2 linked regions of the Lytechinus pictus genome follow. The protein of the gene in region 1 purifies or fractionates together with the protein of each later gene. This does not show direct contact. Links are inferred from orthologs where the notes say so. Each region holds a gene or a part of one and is shown in the gene's direction. Other genes may lie near its edges. The genes, in order: dnaJ homolog subfamily C member 3-like and dnaJ homolog subfamily B member 11-like.

Region 1 (8,097 bases):
CAAAGAGGCTTTGAAGAGCCATTTGGATAAATACTCAGAAATGAGTTCGAACTGAAGTTCGTCAACATAAAAGCTCACCAAAAGTTATATCTCGCATATTGTGAAACAAGCATAAAGCTACTTAACCAATGGAGAATGGCTACACAGGCCTATATGTATCCATAATATAGTGACCAAATGAAAAATATATATATGCTCCCTCTCTCTCTTTTGATCACTCCTAATTCAATAGAGCATACAGTGTTGGCCTTCCACTAATTTATGTAAAAGATATCACGAGTGTAATGCATATGAAAATATCATCATCACACTATTATGAGGTCCCTAATATGTTTGTGTATTACCTCATTACCAACACTAATTGGGCATAGAGTCATAAATTATTAGCTAGGGTAGCCAATTCAGCAATTTTCCCTTCACCAGGCACGATAGGTGTTTAAATGGCATTATATTAATTCTCATCATCAACATGAATCATGATCTTCATCATCATCGTCATATGATCATCATCAAAATTATATTCATTATTACCACCACATTCATCCTCATCACGTATTATCAGCACCTGATATCATAATCATCATCATCTTCATCATCTATCATATCATCTTCATCATCATCATCTTCATCATGCACCACCATCGTCATCAACATCTAGATAAACATCATCATCTTCATCATCATTATCATCATGATCTTTCATCATCATCATCATCATCATCATCATCACCATCAACATCATCATCTTCATCTTCGTCTACAAGATCATCATCATCTTCATCATCACCATCGTTATCATCATCCATCTTCATCATCATCTTCTTCATCACCATCACCATCCTCATCACCACCATACTCGTCACCATCATATATGTGGTCACATTTACAACCACCACCATCCTTTTTCACAAATCAACACCTGGTATCATCACTATCACCATCATCGATCATGTTGCCACTATTAATTACCACCATATGCATATTCATCATCACCTTGTGGCTGTGCACATCATCATCATCATGCATCCACTATCACCACCACATTCATCCATATCACCAATCAGCACCTGGCATCATCATCATCTTTGAATCATCAACATCATCATCATGCATCATTATGTTTCCATTTCAGCGGCTCTACTTCTGAATTTCGCCGGCTCTACATCTGTACTTCTGAATTTCTCCAGCTCAGTACGATCCCACTCCCCGCTCTTTTGCCCGTGTGTCAGCTACCCGTACTCCGTAGAAAGTACCGCATGCCGCAAAGATTATCTGGCATCGTATTTTCACTCATCACTGGCTGCAAAGTTGCCACACAAAACCGGGCATATATATATATAAACGCACATAAATCCTTCACAATTTGCAAATTACTCGCTCCTAAGTCAATAAAGCTAGTAGCCACATCATCATCTGGAATGCTCATAGAAAGTATATATTACCTGAAATTTGAGGAATAAGTTGTTTTACTATAAGTAGATTTGTGCTCCGGTCGCTCGAAATGCAGGTAGATGAATAGTCATTTCGCCCGAGCATAGCGCATTATATTGGAAGCAGACGACATGCAGAAAGACGCGCGCTCTCAGCGGGATCGGCATGATAATCCGTGTTACGTAATAGAAGACGTCATTCACAACAAACTGAATTAGGGTAACCCCAAAAGTTTTAGGTCAATCGTTACAATTTAAATCAACCGTACAACACAATGTGGTAGCTTAATTGCACACCGGCGTGACGCATGACGTTCTCTATAATACCTGGGGGTATCTAAATATATCATTTCCTCGTTATTCCACAAAAATACAGTCTTACAGATGTTTCTCGTGGGCGAAAATGCACGGGTCACGAAATAAAGGTGAACCCAGCTGAACCGACTGAACGCAGGAATATTATGAGGAAGGGTCATGTGAATAGGACTATAGCTGAAATAGGATCATGAAAGATGGAGTAGGAACGCGGAACTATATATATATCCGGGGGAAATCATTACTATACATCAAAACCGTCCAAATAAGGATGTACTCCAATAAAAAATGAACTCAACCATCATAACCCCATTGATCGAGGGTCGATCAGTAATCAACGTGATTACAGGTCAATAATACCAGAACACTCAACATGCATGCTTTTTATTTATAGACCTTTTCTAGCTGCTTTATTCCCCATTTTGTCATGTCTACTACTAATGAATTTTTTTAATGCCTAGTCATGTCGATGTGTGCAATTTTCTGTTAATTATCAATGTAATTAAAGCCAGTTGAAAAATGTTTTATGTAAATCATATAGACTAATGAATTGAATAAATTTCAATACTGTCCTTCATGATGGTCCTGATGGTCCTGATGTAGCTGGTTAACTTTTGAATGAAAAATATGATCAGCAATATTATATCCTGCACATTGTTGAAACATTGTAAAAACGATGTTTATTTTTTACGCACGTGTTTTAATTCTGTATACACTCCAACAAATTAAATTTTTAAACAAATTGTTTAAAACTAAAAAAAAAAATGAAAGTTAAAACAATATTTGTTAGCGTGCTTGAAATTTTGTGTCTGAAGAATGAATAAACTTTTTTTTCATCTTTGTCCCATCTCTGTCAAAATTACCATTAATTCTTTTCTTCTAGTCTTATCACTACACGCATAATAATTGTCGTTCGGATTCCCCTTTAAAGAATAAACACATGAACCAAAAAATGTAGATTTGAATTAAAGGACAAAACCAAACAAGCATAACGCTGGTGTTGGTCAAGAAAGTTAGGACATTTTACACTTTCGCGTAATTTCGCAAAACAGTAAATCAGTCACAACATGGTCTGTATATCATGTATATATACAAACGAGGACATTGGTCATGGCATCACGTATCACCTCTTTTTATGTTAGTATATAAAATATAAAACATTTTATCTTCTCCTCATGATACCGTAAAGTTAAACAAAGTTTGACCTCCAGCCCTGAACATACGGAACTCTAATTATTGTAACCTATTGTACCAGGCCTGTAAGTTCTGATTTAAAAAAAAGATAGTTTCCTTGTTAAAAGGTCAAGTCCACCCCAGAAAAATTATGATTTGAATCAATATAGAAAATTCAAACAAGCATAATGCTGAAATTTCATCAAAATCTGATGTGAAATAAGACAGCTAAGACATTTTAAACTTTCGCTTATTTTTCCACAAAACATGTTATATGTACATTTCAGTGTTGTGCAAATGAGAGAGTCGGTGATGTCCCTCACTCACTATTTCTTTTGTTTTTTTATTGTTTGAATTATACAATATTTCAATTTTTACAGATTTGACAATAATCATGACAAACTTGACTGAACCACAATGTTTAGCGGCTAATCTACCTTCTTGTCGGAAGCTCATTTTCGCCTTCTGTTTGGAAAAAAAGTATTTCGGACGGCAAGAAAAATACCAGAATAGAGTCATATTTGCAGATGATATGATTAAGTGATATTTGACATCCGAAAAGTCGAGTTAATTATATTGGTGAATTTTGTAGGGGCCGCCTTGTGTATGCTATTTACCTATCTCTATCAAATAAATCTTAAAGGTCAAGTCCACCCCACAAAAATGTTGATTTGAATAAATAGACAAAAATCAAACTAGCAAAATGCTGAAAATTTCATCAAATCGGATGTAAAATAAGAAAGTTATGACATTTTAAATTTTCGCTTATTTTTCACAAAACAGTGATATGCACAACTCAAATGAGACAATCTATGATGTCCCTCACTCATGCACTATTTCTTTTGTTTTTTATTGTTTGAATTATACAATATTTCATTTTTATAGATTTTACAATAAGGACCAACTTCAGTTGACTAAATCATATAGTATTAAAAATGCCCATTCCACATGTTCAGGGAGGAATTAATCGTTGTTTCACTTGACAAGGAGTAGAAAAATAGGATATTCCCTATTTTATATAATAAAATACAAAAGAAATAGTGAGTGGATGACGTCATCAGTCTCCTCATTTGCATACCCAACAGGGTGTGCATGTAATTGTTGTGTGAAATTAAGCAAAACTTAAAAATGTCATAACTTTCTTATTTTACATCCGATTTTAAAGAAATTTTATTGTTATGTTTGTTGGATTTTTCTCTTTTTATTCAAATCAATTTTTTGTTTGGGTGGACTTGTCCTTTAATCAGTAGGCCTACTATACCCCTCCCTGCATTTCCACAGGCCCAGCCACCCCCCTTCATTTTTTTAAATTTGTTTTGTTTTGTGAACAATTTTGAATTGAGGGGCCACTAGTTTAAAAAAAAAAAAAAAAAACAGTCTCGTTGGGCATGCGCGTCAAATTCAACAACAGTTCACCGAGAATCAACAGTGGTTTTGTTGATGGGTGGAGCCGAAAAGTCCATGTGTAATTTGACGTTCGAGAAGTCCTTATTTGACCAATCAAATCGCAACACATCTTTCTTGTGTAGTGCAACGTAATGATTTAATCCAAGTTTGAAGTTAGATATTGCATACTGACTAAGTTTATATATTATAGTTGATTATAAAATATTATTAAATCTATCTTAGTTTCTACAAAAGAAAAAATGGTATTAAAATTACTTTTCAATGAAAGTAATATAATTACTTTGAGATAAATTAGACCAACATCAAATTGACAAAAGTAGCACATACGTGTATGGGATCCCTACGTGTATTAAGGTATGCGAGTCCGCTACTGAACCGATTTCGTTGCAGTGGTGATAATTTCTTAATGTCAGACTGTTATCGAGCATTTACTCATCATTGATGGCGAGACGAAGGGATATGTTCAATTTGCACAACTTTTTAAGCTCGATTCCAGTTCTCTTGGTGACTTTGTCTCTTCATTATGATGGTAAGATCTCAAAATTGTTGCTCACGCCTTTGCCGTAGTCCCATCCATTACAAGTTTTGTATTGTTCTTTGTTGTACTTGTAGTCTCATGTCGTCGGCCAAGCAAGTCCCAAATCACTTGTCTAACGATTAACGAAAGTAAAAGTAACACTTTGTTTATGAAATCACGCTGTTTTTGCCGAGTTTAAGGTTCATAGTAAGGATCTACAACAGATGACAAGTTGTTGATGGAGGCAGATGCGATTGCTTGACTTGTTCATGTTGTTTTGACTGTCTGATCGACATGATCGAGATCATTTAATTTCAAGTTAGGGATTTATTTGTTCCTAATTTTTACTTAATAATTTGAAATAAAAAGTCATTACGTACATTGATTCTTTCAACATCTGTCTTACTTCCATCAGCATTTTAAAAAACTTACTGACCCATCAATTAACTCCAGCTCTTTCCAATTTCCATGGCATTTTAATTTGTATTGATCTTTTCCCTTTATAATTGATTGAATTTGAAGTTTGAATGAAAAGAAAGAAGAAAAATTGGCATATATTCTAGTCTTTCAAATGTGAGTTAAATCTAGAGATGAGCTCGATGCCAATTAATCTATTTCATGAAAAATTTGCGGATGTTCTTTGTTTTCTGTGCAGATGGAGAAGCGAAATCGGAAGCAGAGGCCAAGAAATACATGGAGACTGGAAACACTTTGTTAGCAGCTGGTCAGCTTGCTGATGCACTGGCCCAATATAATTCTGCAATAGGTATAAACATTTACCAGTCTTATTTTACCAACTGTGCCAGTAATGAATTAACCATTAGACTGCTTAGTAAACACTTTCGATGTGATACTATAGTGTAAAGCGTGTACGGTACTGTATATTTTTTTAAATTCCATAGCAACCTACTATGAGTAAATTACTTTCTTTTCATTGAAAAAATTGATAGTTCTGTTCCGGTAACTTTGTTTAAATAGGAGGAGAAAAATTAACAAAACAATATAGCCACTGTTGGTGATAGCTTAAAGGACAAGTCCGAACCCAACACCCAGCCAATATGTATTATCCACTTGAATATTCCAAACCTCTAGAAAAACATGCTGTCAGGCCCAAATTCACAAAATAGGTTGAAACCACAGAAGGGATTTAAACCAATTACCTTTCATAATGATAATTTCAAGCTCATTGAAATAAGTGTAATGAGCACTCATTTGCTATGTGCATCCCTAAAGAAAATATGCAAATGGGGGGGAAAAAATGGATGTCTGCCACCAAGCCCTAAATTATAGCAATGGGTCATTAAATCGATTGCTCTATGCCCTTTAAAAAAAATACTGTTCAGGAACCAATCAGAATGGTGCTCTTATATTTGCAATCCATTGCCAACCTTTGTGGTACAACAAAGCCGAGATCAAATTCAGTACTGTGTACACTTAAAAATAGCCTCAGGACAGCATGTAACAAAGAGAAAGTTTTTAGAAATCTCCCTTGTGAATTATACCTAATGAAAGAACACGGAACATGTATTATTAAAGGGATGGTCCAGGCTGGAAATATTTATTTCTCAATAAATAGAGTGAAATACACTGAGCAAAATGCTGATAATTTTATCAAAATCAGGTCACAAATAACAAAGTTATTGAATTTTAAAGATTTGCATTTATTCCAGTGAAACAGTTCTAGGGATGTCTTTATGAATATGCAATAGGTGGGCTGATGATGCATATCCCCACTTGTTCTTTTGTATTCTATTATATGAAATTAGGTTTATTTAAATTTTTTCTACCAAGAACTAAAGCAATTGGATTGACAACTGATTGAGTGCATTAGTTATTTATTGCCGCATCTTATTTCTTCATAATGGAGACATATCAATTACACATGTATAAAAAAATTAAACATTTATTATTTCATGTAATAACATAACAAAAAGGAAAGTGGGGATGTGACATCATCAGCCCACCTAATGAATATTCATGACAATGTGGATATAACTGTTTTCACAAAATATTGATAAACTTGAGACTTAATAACTTTGTTATTTATTATCCGATATGATGAAATTTTCAGCATTTTGCTGTGAATTTTACTCTATTTATGTAGATATAAATTTCTTCAGCCCGGACAATCCCTTTCATCACAGTTTGGTGTGAACTTTTCTGTGTGTGAGTCAGAATGTATTCAAATAATGCTCTTTGCTACTGCACCAATATTGCAAATCATTAAACTATACATAAGTGAAGGGATGCCTAAAAATAAATTGCAGGGGTTTTTTGTATGAAAAAAAAAATTGGTTAGAAAAATAGAATAGTATGAATATTTTCTTTAACAGACATTGTGTATTATAGTTAGAATCTTTGAAAAAATGAAACCTTCAGTAGACTATAACGAAACTCTCTGCAAAAAGAGAGCAGTTGAAATCTCTGTAAAGATATGCCTCTATTAAAGGGATGGTCCGGGCTGGAAGTATTTATAGCTAAATAGAATTCACTGAGCAAAATGCCAAAAAATTTCATCAAAATCGGATAACAAATAAAAAATTAATTGAATTTTAAAGTTTCGCAATATTTTGTGAAAACAGTCGTCATGAATATTCATTAGGTGGGCTGATGATGTCACATCCCCACTTGTTCTTTTGTATTTTATTATATGAAATTAGGTTTATTCAAATTTTTTCCTCCAAGAACTAGAAAAAGGGGAATGACAGCTGATTTAGTGCATTAGATATTTATTGCTGCAACTTATTTCATTATAAGGGAGACATATTATTCACACAAGTATGACATAATGGAAAATTATGATTTTATGTAATAACATAAGAAAACGGAAAGTGGGGATGTGACATCATCAGCCCACCTAATATTCATGACGACTGTTTTCACAAAATATTGCTAAACTTTGAACTTCAATAACTTTATTATTTGTTATCCGATTTTGATGAAATTTTCGGCATTTTGCTCAGTGAATTCTACTCTATGTATTAAGATATAAGTATTTTTAGCCCAGACCATCCCTTTAAAGGAAGGTTTATTATTTAATTTTGTCAAGACAATGATCCTGAGAACTACATGGCATACTACAAGAGAGCCGCTGTTTACCTGGCCCAAGGAAGGTCCAAACTGGCTCTACCAGACTTGAAGAAGAGCATGACTCTCAAGAAGGACTTCACTCCCGCTCTCATCAACCATGGCAATGTACTATTTAAGCTGGGACATCTTGCTAAAGCTAGGGAAGATTATGCTGCCGTGGTGAGA
Region 2 (8,510 bases), on another chromosome or scaffold:
ACAATACAAGTTGGCAGGTAACAATTGAATTAAAGAAATAGGGCTGTCATGAAAATGATGGCATTGGTCATGTAAATTTGCTGTACTTGAAAGTTAATGCAGCATGAACTTTGTAATTGCATTTACAAGTTTATTTTAGATTTCTCTTTTGTTTTGATTAACTTTGACTTTATACATATTTACTTCAGGTTTTTTAGAAATATTTTCAAAATTGACATTAGAATTGCCTCTTTACTTCCCACAAGTTTTATAAATTAAAAAAGAAATTATGAACAATACCAACCTCCAAATATTCTTGTGGTGTATTCTTCTCTGATGTGTTAAGGTAGGTATCTTCTTCTGGTATGAAAAGTCAAACACCTCAATCCCTATTCTATCGGGGTGCCGATTGATAACATACAGGGTCAGTGTGGGATTATCTAAATGAGAGTAATATTGACAATAAGTATAAATTAATGACTTTGAAATCCTAAATAAGGTACCTTGTCCAAAATCTCTTCCAAGTGTTTCAGCAGGAATCCAGCTCTAAAAGGCACTATTTACCTTTTCATAGCAGCTTCCCTGCATTGTTTTGTCTAAGTTGAAGTGTTAAAGGGGGAGTGAACTGTGTGTGGTCTCTCATTGACTGTGTGTTATATATACATAGTCTTAGAATATACATTTTCAGATATAATAATACAGATAATAAATTGACCTATAATTGTATTTGTGTAGAGAAACTAAAATGTTTGAGAGGAAAAGTAATTGTTTTGCTGCTTGGTAAAATAATTATTGCGGTATAAATGTAACGATTAGTTAATGAGCATGTTATCATTCAAGTGGGTCTATATCAATAGACTACACTAGCATTATGGGTCAGGAAACTGGCCAGGTATGAGTAGTTGAGGACTCGAGATGGCGCTATTGGTTCGTATCTGCTTTAAAATCAGTAATGTGAAGCTGCTTGCGGGATTCCGTGCAAAAGACATGCCTCTGACTTTGGACAAAGTACCTAAACTTTTATGACATTCCACAAATACAATAGCAATAGTGGCTCCAATAAAATGAGGGGAGGGGGAGGCTAGGCTAAAGCTTTAGAAATGGATCATGATTTCTAAATGTTCTAGACTGAGCAGCACAGAAAAACAATCAAATAATTAGAAATAGGTTTGAAAGGTAATCTGAATTTAATTTGAAAAGGCAAAATAGAATGTCCAATACCGGCTGTCACTTCATAGATCTATTGAATTCCCTTTTTCATACCATCTCCCACCAATCTATACTAATTTTTTGGGGAAAAAAATTCAATGTGTGTCTACTTCAAGCTTGTATCAAATATCAGCCCTTTTTCACAAAGCTATTAGATTAAAGAAACAAGTCTACAAAGTAATAATTCTTAAAATACCTTTTGGCCCACTCTCCCAAATGTCCATTCCAAAGGGTATCCAGTCTGAGGGATCAAATCCAACAATCTGGATGTTTTTAGGATCATCATCAGGATAATTGAAGTCAAAGAGAAAGACTTTACCCAATATATCTTGATCAGGTTCAAATGCTTTCAAGACACCCTATTGAATGAAAGAAAATAATAGGCGATAGAGCATAATATTGTACTCAGATTTATTCTTACAATTAAAGAGAAAGTTTACTTTAGTGTCAAGTTGGAAATACAAGTATAAATAATCCATAACGGATTAGACCTACAGTTTGTTACCTCAGCAATAAAAGCAATTACACAATATTATTATGGTGATGATGACATAAATAACAAAAATAATAATTGTAGTGATGATGATGATAACAAAAATGATTTGTTATTCAATGTTATTCTTAATATTGATCAGTGTTTTGTTAGTGATTATTGTCATCATCATCTATAGGGATAATGACGACAACAACAATAAAAAAAAATAGTATATTCAATTTTCTTGCCAATATAATATTCTTTATTGGCAATTACCATCATAATAATTATCATAAAAAGTAGCAGCAGCAGCAGTAGAAATAGAAGCAGCCAGTGGCGGACCGTGACCCAGAGGAGACAAAGCATTGGAGGGGCACAGCATTGTTCACAAACAATACAGTGCCCCTCCAATGCTTTGTCTCCTCCGGGTCACGGTCCGCCACTGGTAGCAGCAGTAATGCTAGAAGTGGTAGCAGTAGTAGTAGTAGTGGTGGTAGTAGTAGTAGTAGTAGTAGTAGTAGTAGTAGTAGTAGTAGTAGTAGTAGTAGTAGTAGTAGTAGTAGTAGTAGTAGAAGTAGGAGTACAAGCAGAAGCTGAATTAATAGAAGTAGTACTAGATGTATACTACTACTACTTCTACTACTACTACTACTACTACTACTACTTCTACTACTAATACTACTACTGCTACTCCTATATTACTTCAACAAATAGTACTGATGATGATGATGGTGGTGGTGATGATGATATTAATAATAGTTCTACTAACAATAATAGTAATAATAATGATAATTATTGTGATTTTACAAACAATCGATAAATACTTGCTATTAACACAAGTCTTGTGCAAATTTTGATTGAATTCATAGTTTTATGTTGTATTAATACTCTCTACCCTTGAGTATGTAATTCATACCAATACTTTGTTTCATATTTAACAAATACATAAATGTTTTACCCTGTAAAGCACATAAAAAGGTGTTAAATCTACTAATGCGCTAAATGAAATTATCTTTATTATTATTAAACTAAATATAATATCAATTAAAAATATATAAAAATAATAATAAAATATCATGATGATTATTATTTTCATTATAAAAGCTTCACATTAACTTACAGCGGATATGAATGCAAGTCCATTTGACGAGGTCACTATATCCTCAGATCCATTTTCTTTATGGTATAGATATAACAAACAGAAGTGAAATTGAAAATACAACTTAAAAAGAAACAAATATAATAAAATTAAAAAGAGTCAAAAACACTTTAAGGATTACATTCAAATTATAACAATATCGTATTCTCTCACAAGGGGGAAATTGTTTCAGTATTCAGGGGCCGCGGAAGCAGGGTGGGGGGGGGGCTTTTTCCCAAACCATGTACAAAAACGTAAAAATGACCATACGATTGTGATTTTTTGCATGGTCAGCCCCCCCCCCCCGACTTTGAAAACCGTTCCGCGGCCCCTGGTTGGGGATGATTTCTCTACTCGTGTTATCTCTAATTTCTTAATTTTGTATTGAAATAATTTCCCTTATAAAGGAATCACTCCAGCCCAAGGTCAAGTGAAAAGTTGATGAATACAAAAAATCTGAGAAGCAGGTATTATTATTATTTAAAAAAAAAATATTTGTAAAAAGCAACTCTTCCAAAAATACTTCAATACACAAAATAACCATTGTTATTTTCTTAAAGTTATATTAAGAATGTAATTTCTCTTAAATAAGGATATGTAACAATATCCTTTATGTTGTAATCAATCTATTAATTATTATTACTCCCAAATTATTCATATCACTCCTAATTTATATACTTGGATCAACTTTGATGTTCATCTATTGAACAATTCTTTAGATATCATAAAAAACATTAACAAAATTGACCGATGACAATCAAAATACATTAAATTCCTATAGCAACCATGTAAGATGGGCAGAGGCATAAAAAGGAAAGAAAGAAAATGAATTAGTCAATATTTACCAATTCCTGGTAGAGCTCTACACTTCCCAGGATAATGTGTGTATACAGTCTTGTGAAATCCCATCATATATCTGTTTCAAAATGTAAAAAAGAAAATAGCTCCTGAATAACACCAGAAACAGGCACTTATGAAAATTCAAGAGTGGTCCAAAGTGATTTACTCACCTTTTTGGAGTTTCAAAAGATTGCCTTGTTATAATCAATGTAAAGAATACAATAAAAAAAAATGGTGAAAACTGAGAATAAGAAACAAAAGATTTCAAGAAATTCATGGAACTATGAAAATTTGAATTGAAAATATGAATTGTTGTAATGGCTAATTTTCTTGTCAGTCCTATGATATGTTTCCATAGAGCATTAAAAAAACTCTTTATTTCCATACTAAATATAGGCCTACAACTATTTAAATTATTAAAATCAGAAGTTTGTGCCTTCTCTATTGGAGACAAAATGTCCCATATGTAACTCCCCCCCCCCAAAAAAAAGTAACATAACACGTCCTCTTCGACTTCACCCACGGCTTTATTACAAAAATATCAACTCTTTCTTGAGTCTTGTGACACAAAACAACAACAAAAGTAACAAAGTCAAAGGGGAAAGACAAAGTCATAATCCTCTTCGACTTCACCCACAGCTTTATTACAAAAATATCAACTCTTGTGAAACAAAACAAAACTTGATCTAAACCTAACCCTGATCTGAATAGTCAATTTTTTTTTTATTCTCCAAACTTTACTTCTTGGGAGCGTTTCATGAAAGGACTTGTCGGACGTTTTATCCGACAAGATCCATTTTATCCGACAGTTACCATAGTAACAGTACCTCTCAGCCAATCAACATCAGAGAAAGATGTCAGATCTGACAACTTGTCGGATGAAAATGTTGATGAAACACTCCCCTTATCTATTAAAGACAGATAATCTAGTATTATTTAGTCACTGTATAAAAGGGGCGTGTCTACGGAAAAATTATCTACCAGCGGCTGTTGTCTTCCCCCTAACTGCGGGCGGAGGCAAGCATCGATTCGAAAGGTGAGCCGTCGCAGGCCCAAAAGGTTCATTTTTAAATTTTAGGAGAGCTTTCAAACTTTTTTTTGTAAATCGAATCGAAAAGTCAAACTCACGCGATCCGAGCAAGCTGGTCAATCACTACAGCAAAAACGATGTAGGTGACTATACTACGGATTGATAACCACATTTTAATCAGAATTTGACGGAGAACTGCAACTGGGAGAATGGAGAGAAAATTGCAAAGACTCGACTGTAAAGTTAGCATGAATGAAGGCGTGGCATGGCCAATAAAGTTGCGTGCGCATCAGATGTAAACGCAACAGCGAATGAAAAACGACTTCGTGGAAATTCTGAAAGGAGTGTTGAGCCGAAAGACCGGCGTTTTCACATGGCAAAAACATGGCTATTTATACATGGAATGTATGCTTATTTCTCCTCCAGTTGTCATTAACTGTATTAGCAGGGTAAGCTATATTTGATTAATCTAGAAATTTAGAAAATTGTGTCTTTAAATGTGTTAAACCTGCAGAACTAATGTCAAGTAAAGCCTGTTCAGTCCCACTCGTTATAAAATATGTTTTAGTTGCTCACAAAGCCATTGGCATAATTAAACTTAATTAAGCCCAGATTCCAGAATGTCAATCGTGATCGTGTGTATGTGGATGCGTGGGGATAAGCAGATAAAAACATAATATTTTGCTCTGGATATTTTCAAAATCTGTGCATGAAATAGTAGGCCTAGGCCTAAATGTAATTTTTGATATTTCATTTATTTGATTTTGATATTTGAAATATTGTCAAACTAATCTCTGAGTATCAAAGTATCATGACTATCACTATCAGTAGACAGTATCACTTAAAACAATTTATGACTAACGATTAACGTTGACTGATAATTGTCATTTGATAAATCCACATCCGCTGTTTCGGAGGAGTTTTAACTTTTAAAAACATTTTCTGATTTTTTGGTCCTCCTACAACACAGATGACAGATGGATGATGGCTATTGCGCTCGTAATAGTGGAGCAAACAACCGCCGCTTAATTACACTGTACAGTGTCTATGGAGAAAAGGGTGCACTTTTTCACCCTCCTCGATTATGATTTTGCTTTTTGAGGTGGGAAAAAGTAATCTAAATAGGCCTAAAGATAAATTATTTAAATACATTCAGCTTACCACCTTTCCGAAAAATGTGCCAGAAATAAATTAAGGCTGTAACGGATTTTAAAATCGGCTCCCGATTTTATCAGATTTTACCACAATCAGCGATCTCCTGCCGATCTTTGTCTTTGATTATGCCCATTGAAGGAAAAAATGCGAAGTCTCAGCGGAGCATATCTCTGACATCAGTCTAGACTAGAATCTACTATCTAGTCTACATGTAGGCTACTAATGATTGCAAAGTTCTTGATTATTTAATTGCATCTTAACTTCTAACCTGGCCCAGAGAGTTACCCTGGTACTACCCCAAATCTTTCATCATATCACACTTGATTAGAATTTTGATAATTTCATTTACATTTTTCAAATTATGCATTCAATTCTTTGAATTAGAAATTGCTCTTAAGTGGCATGTTAGAGTTTACTGAAATGTATGCTTCTCTGACAAAATTACAATTGTTTTAAGGTGTTTGAAATTATTTTTTTTCAAATCGAAAACAATATTATTTAGCAACAACATTATTTAGCTCCTTTTTTTTAAACGAAAGAACATTTTTATATCACAACTTTGTTGGGAAACTGCAGTGGATATAGCTTATTTCGAGGTATCTAAATACGCTATACTTTGAATTAGAAGCTCATAAATCATAAAATTTTGTTTATGCATAACAGGAGAGACTTTTACAAAATCCTTGGAGTGCCTCGAGATGCTTCTACCAACCAAATCAAGAAGGCATACAGGAAATTAGCTATGCAGTATCATCCTGATAAAAACAAGGATGATCCAGAAGCTAATGAAAAATTTCATGATCTTGGTGCTGCATATGAGGTAGGCTTGATGTTTCCATTTTTTCCTTATCTTTATAGCATAGATATTAAAATGAATTTATGGAAAGGCTGTATTATTGTTGAATATATAGTTAATCCCAGCCCATTCTTTCAGAGTTATGATTGATAAATTAAAATTGATCCTCATCTCTTTATTATTTCCATTTGCATCTCAGATTGATTTTGATTATATTGCAACTCTTTAAAGGCATGCCTCTGGAAGGAGGGGGTGGGGTGGTGGCATGGTAGGGGTTGTCATCTTACTTTACTTTACATTGTTATAAACTTCGATGTTAAGGGTATCCTCATTTTTCCCCTCCAGGGAGTACTTTCTTATAGATATAGAACATTTTGTCAAATTCAGGTGTAAAATAAAAAATTATGACATTTTCAAATTTTGCAAAATAGTTATGCCCATCCTGGTCAGCCTTCTCTGTATACAAATTAGGTAACCAATGATGTAACCCATATACTATTCCCTTTGTAGTTTATACTCTAGGGTGGACTTGGCCTTTACGGGATGGCTATACCAATTTTTGTCTTGCCTGCATAACAGAGTGAGACTATAGGCGCCGCTTTTCCGACGGCGGCATCAACACCAAATCTTAACCGAAGGTTAAGTTTTTGACAGCATAACTTAGAAAGTATATGGACCTAGTTCATGAAACTTGGCCATAAGATTAATCAAGTATTACTGAATATCCTGCCTGAGTTTTAGGTCATATGACCAAGGTCAAAGGTCATTTAGGGTCAATGAACTTAGACCATGTCGGGGGAATCAACATCAAAATCTTAACCTAAGGTTAAGTTTTTGAAATGTCATCATAACTTAGAAAGTATATGGACCTAGTTCATGAAACTTGAACATAAGGTTAATCAATTATTACTGAACATCCTGCTTGAGTTTCACATCACATGACTAAGGTCAAAGGTCATTTAGGGTCAATGAACTTTGGCCAATTGGGGGTATTTATTGAAGTACCATCATAACTTTGAAAGTTTATTGGTCTAGTTCATAAAACTTGGACATAAGAGTAATCAAGTATCACTGAACATCCTGTGCGAATTTCAGGTCACATGACCAATGTCAAAGGTCAATGAACTTTGGCCATGTGGGGGAATCTGTACCATCATAACTTTGAAAGTTTATGGATCTGATTCATGAAACTTGGACATAAGAGTAACCAAGTATCACTGAACATCTTGTGCGAGTTTCAGGTCGCATGACCAAGGTCAAAGGTCAAAGGTCAATGGTCAAAGGTCAATGAACTTTAGCCAATGGGGGTATCTGTTGAATTACCATCATAACTTCGAAAGTTTATGGATCTGATTCATGAAACTTGGACATAAGAGTAATCAAGTATCACTGAACATCCTGTGCAAATTTCAGGTCACATGACCAACATCAAAGGTCAATGAACTTTGGCTCTGTGGGGGAATCTGTTGAATTACCATCAGAAGAGACCGCCAGAGGCATTCCACTTGTTTAAAGAATGTATCTAAAGTTGTTACACTTATTGCACTGACTGTCAAGAATAGAAAGAAATTCCAGTTGTTACAGAGTCACATAGAGAATGAATTTTGAAAGAATACAGGTTTGTACTTTTGCTTCTTTACTTTCATTCTGTGACCTCGTGTTGCTGAGCTTTGGTGGACCATATTTGATCAAGTCTTTATTTGTATTTTTGCTGGATCCAGGTTCTTTCAGATGAGGATCAGAGAAAGACCTATGATGCACGAGGCGAAGAAGGTTTGAAGGATATGGGCCATGGACATCATGGGGACCCATTCTCCAGGTAAGATTCACATAGATTTCACTATGGATTTTTAGTTGTTATTGATTATACCCCCTATAACTTTCCTAC

The links.
Region 2: the proteins of dnaJ homolog subfamily C member 3-like (region 1) and dnaJ homolog subfamily B member 11-like purify together in Homo sapiens (affinity purification with mass spectrometry; 3 studies listed by BioGRID and IntAct, with this or other methods). This does not show direct contact. The link is inferred for Lytechinus pictus from reciprocal best matches to the Homo sapiens genes DNAJC3 and DNAJB11.

What each region holds. Positions count from the first base shown.
Region 1 is NC_087260.1:12,715,993-12,724,089, reverse strand, and holds the start of dnaJ homolog subfamily C member 3-like, read left to right. Parts: upstream 1-4,629; 5' UTR 4,630-4,766; coding exon 4,767-4,854; intron 4,855-5,497; coding exon 5,498-5,608; intron 5,609-7,891; coding exon 7,892-8,091; intron 8,092-8,097. UniProt on the Homo sapiens protein: Involved in the unfolded protein response (UPR) during endoplasmic reticulum (ER) stress.
Region 2 is NC_087245.1:13,275,094-13,283,603, forward strand, and holds the start of dnaJ homolog subfamily B member 11-like, read left to right. Parts: upstream 1-4,667; 5' UTR 4,668-4,769; coding exon of another isoform or gene 4,770-4,921; 5' UTR 4,922-5,055; coding exon 5,056-5,120; intron 5,121-6,489; coding exon 6,490-6,646; intron 6,647-8,343; coding exon 8,344-8,441; intron 8,442-8,510. Other genes in the region: serum paraoxonase/arylesterase 2-like, read right to left, coding at 284-419, 1,385-1,547, 2,784-2,839, 3,647-3,717, 4,770-4,921. UniProt on the Homo sapiens protein: As a co-chaperone for HSPA5 it is required for proper folding, trafficking or degradation of proteins.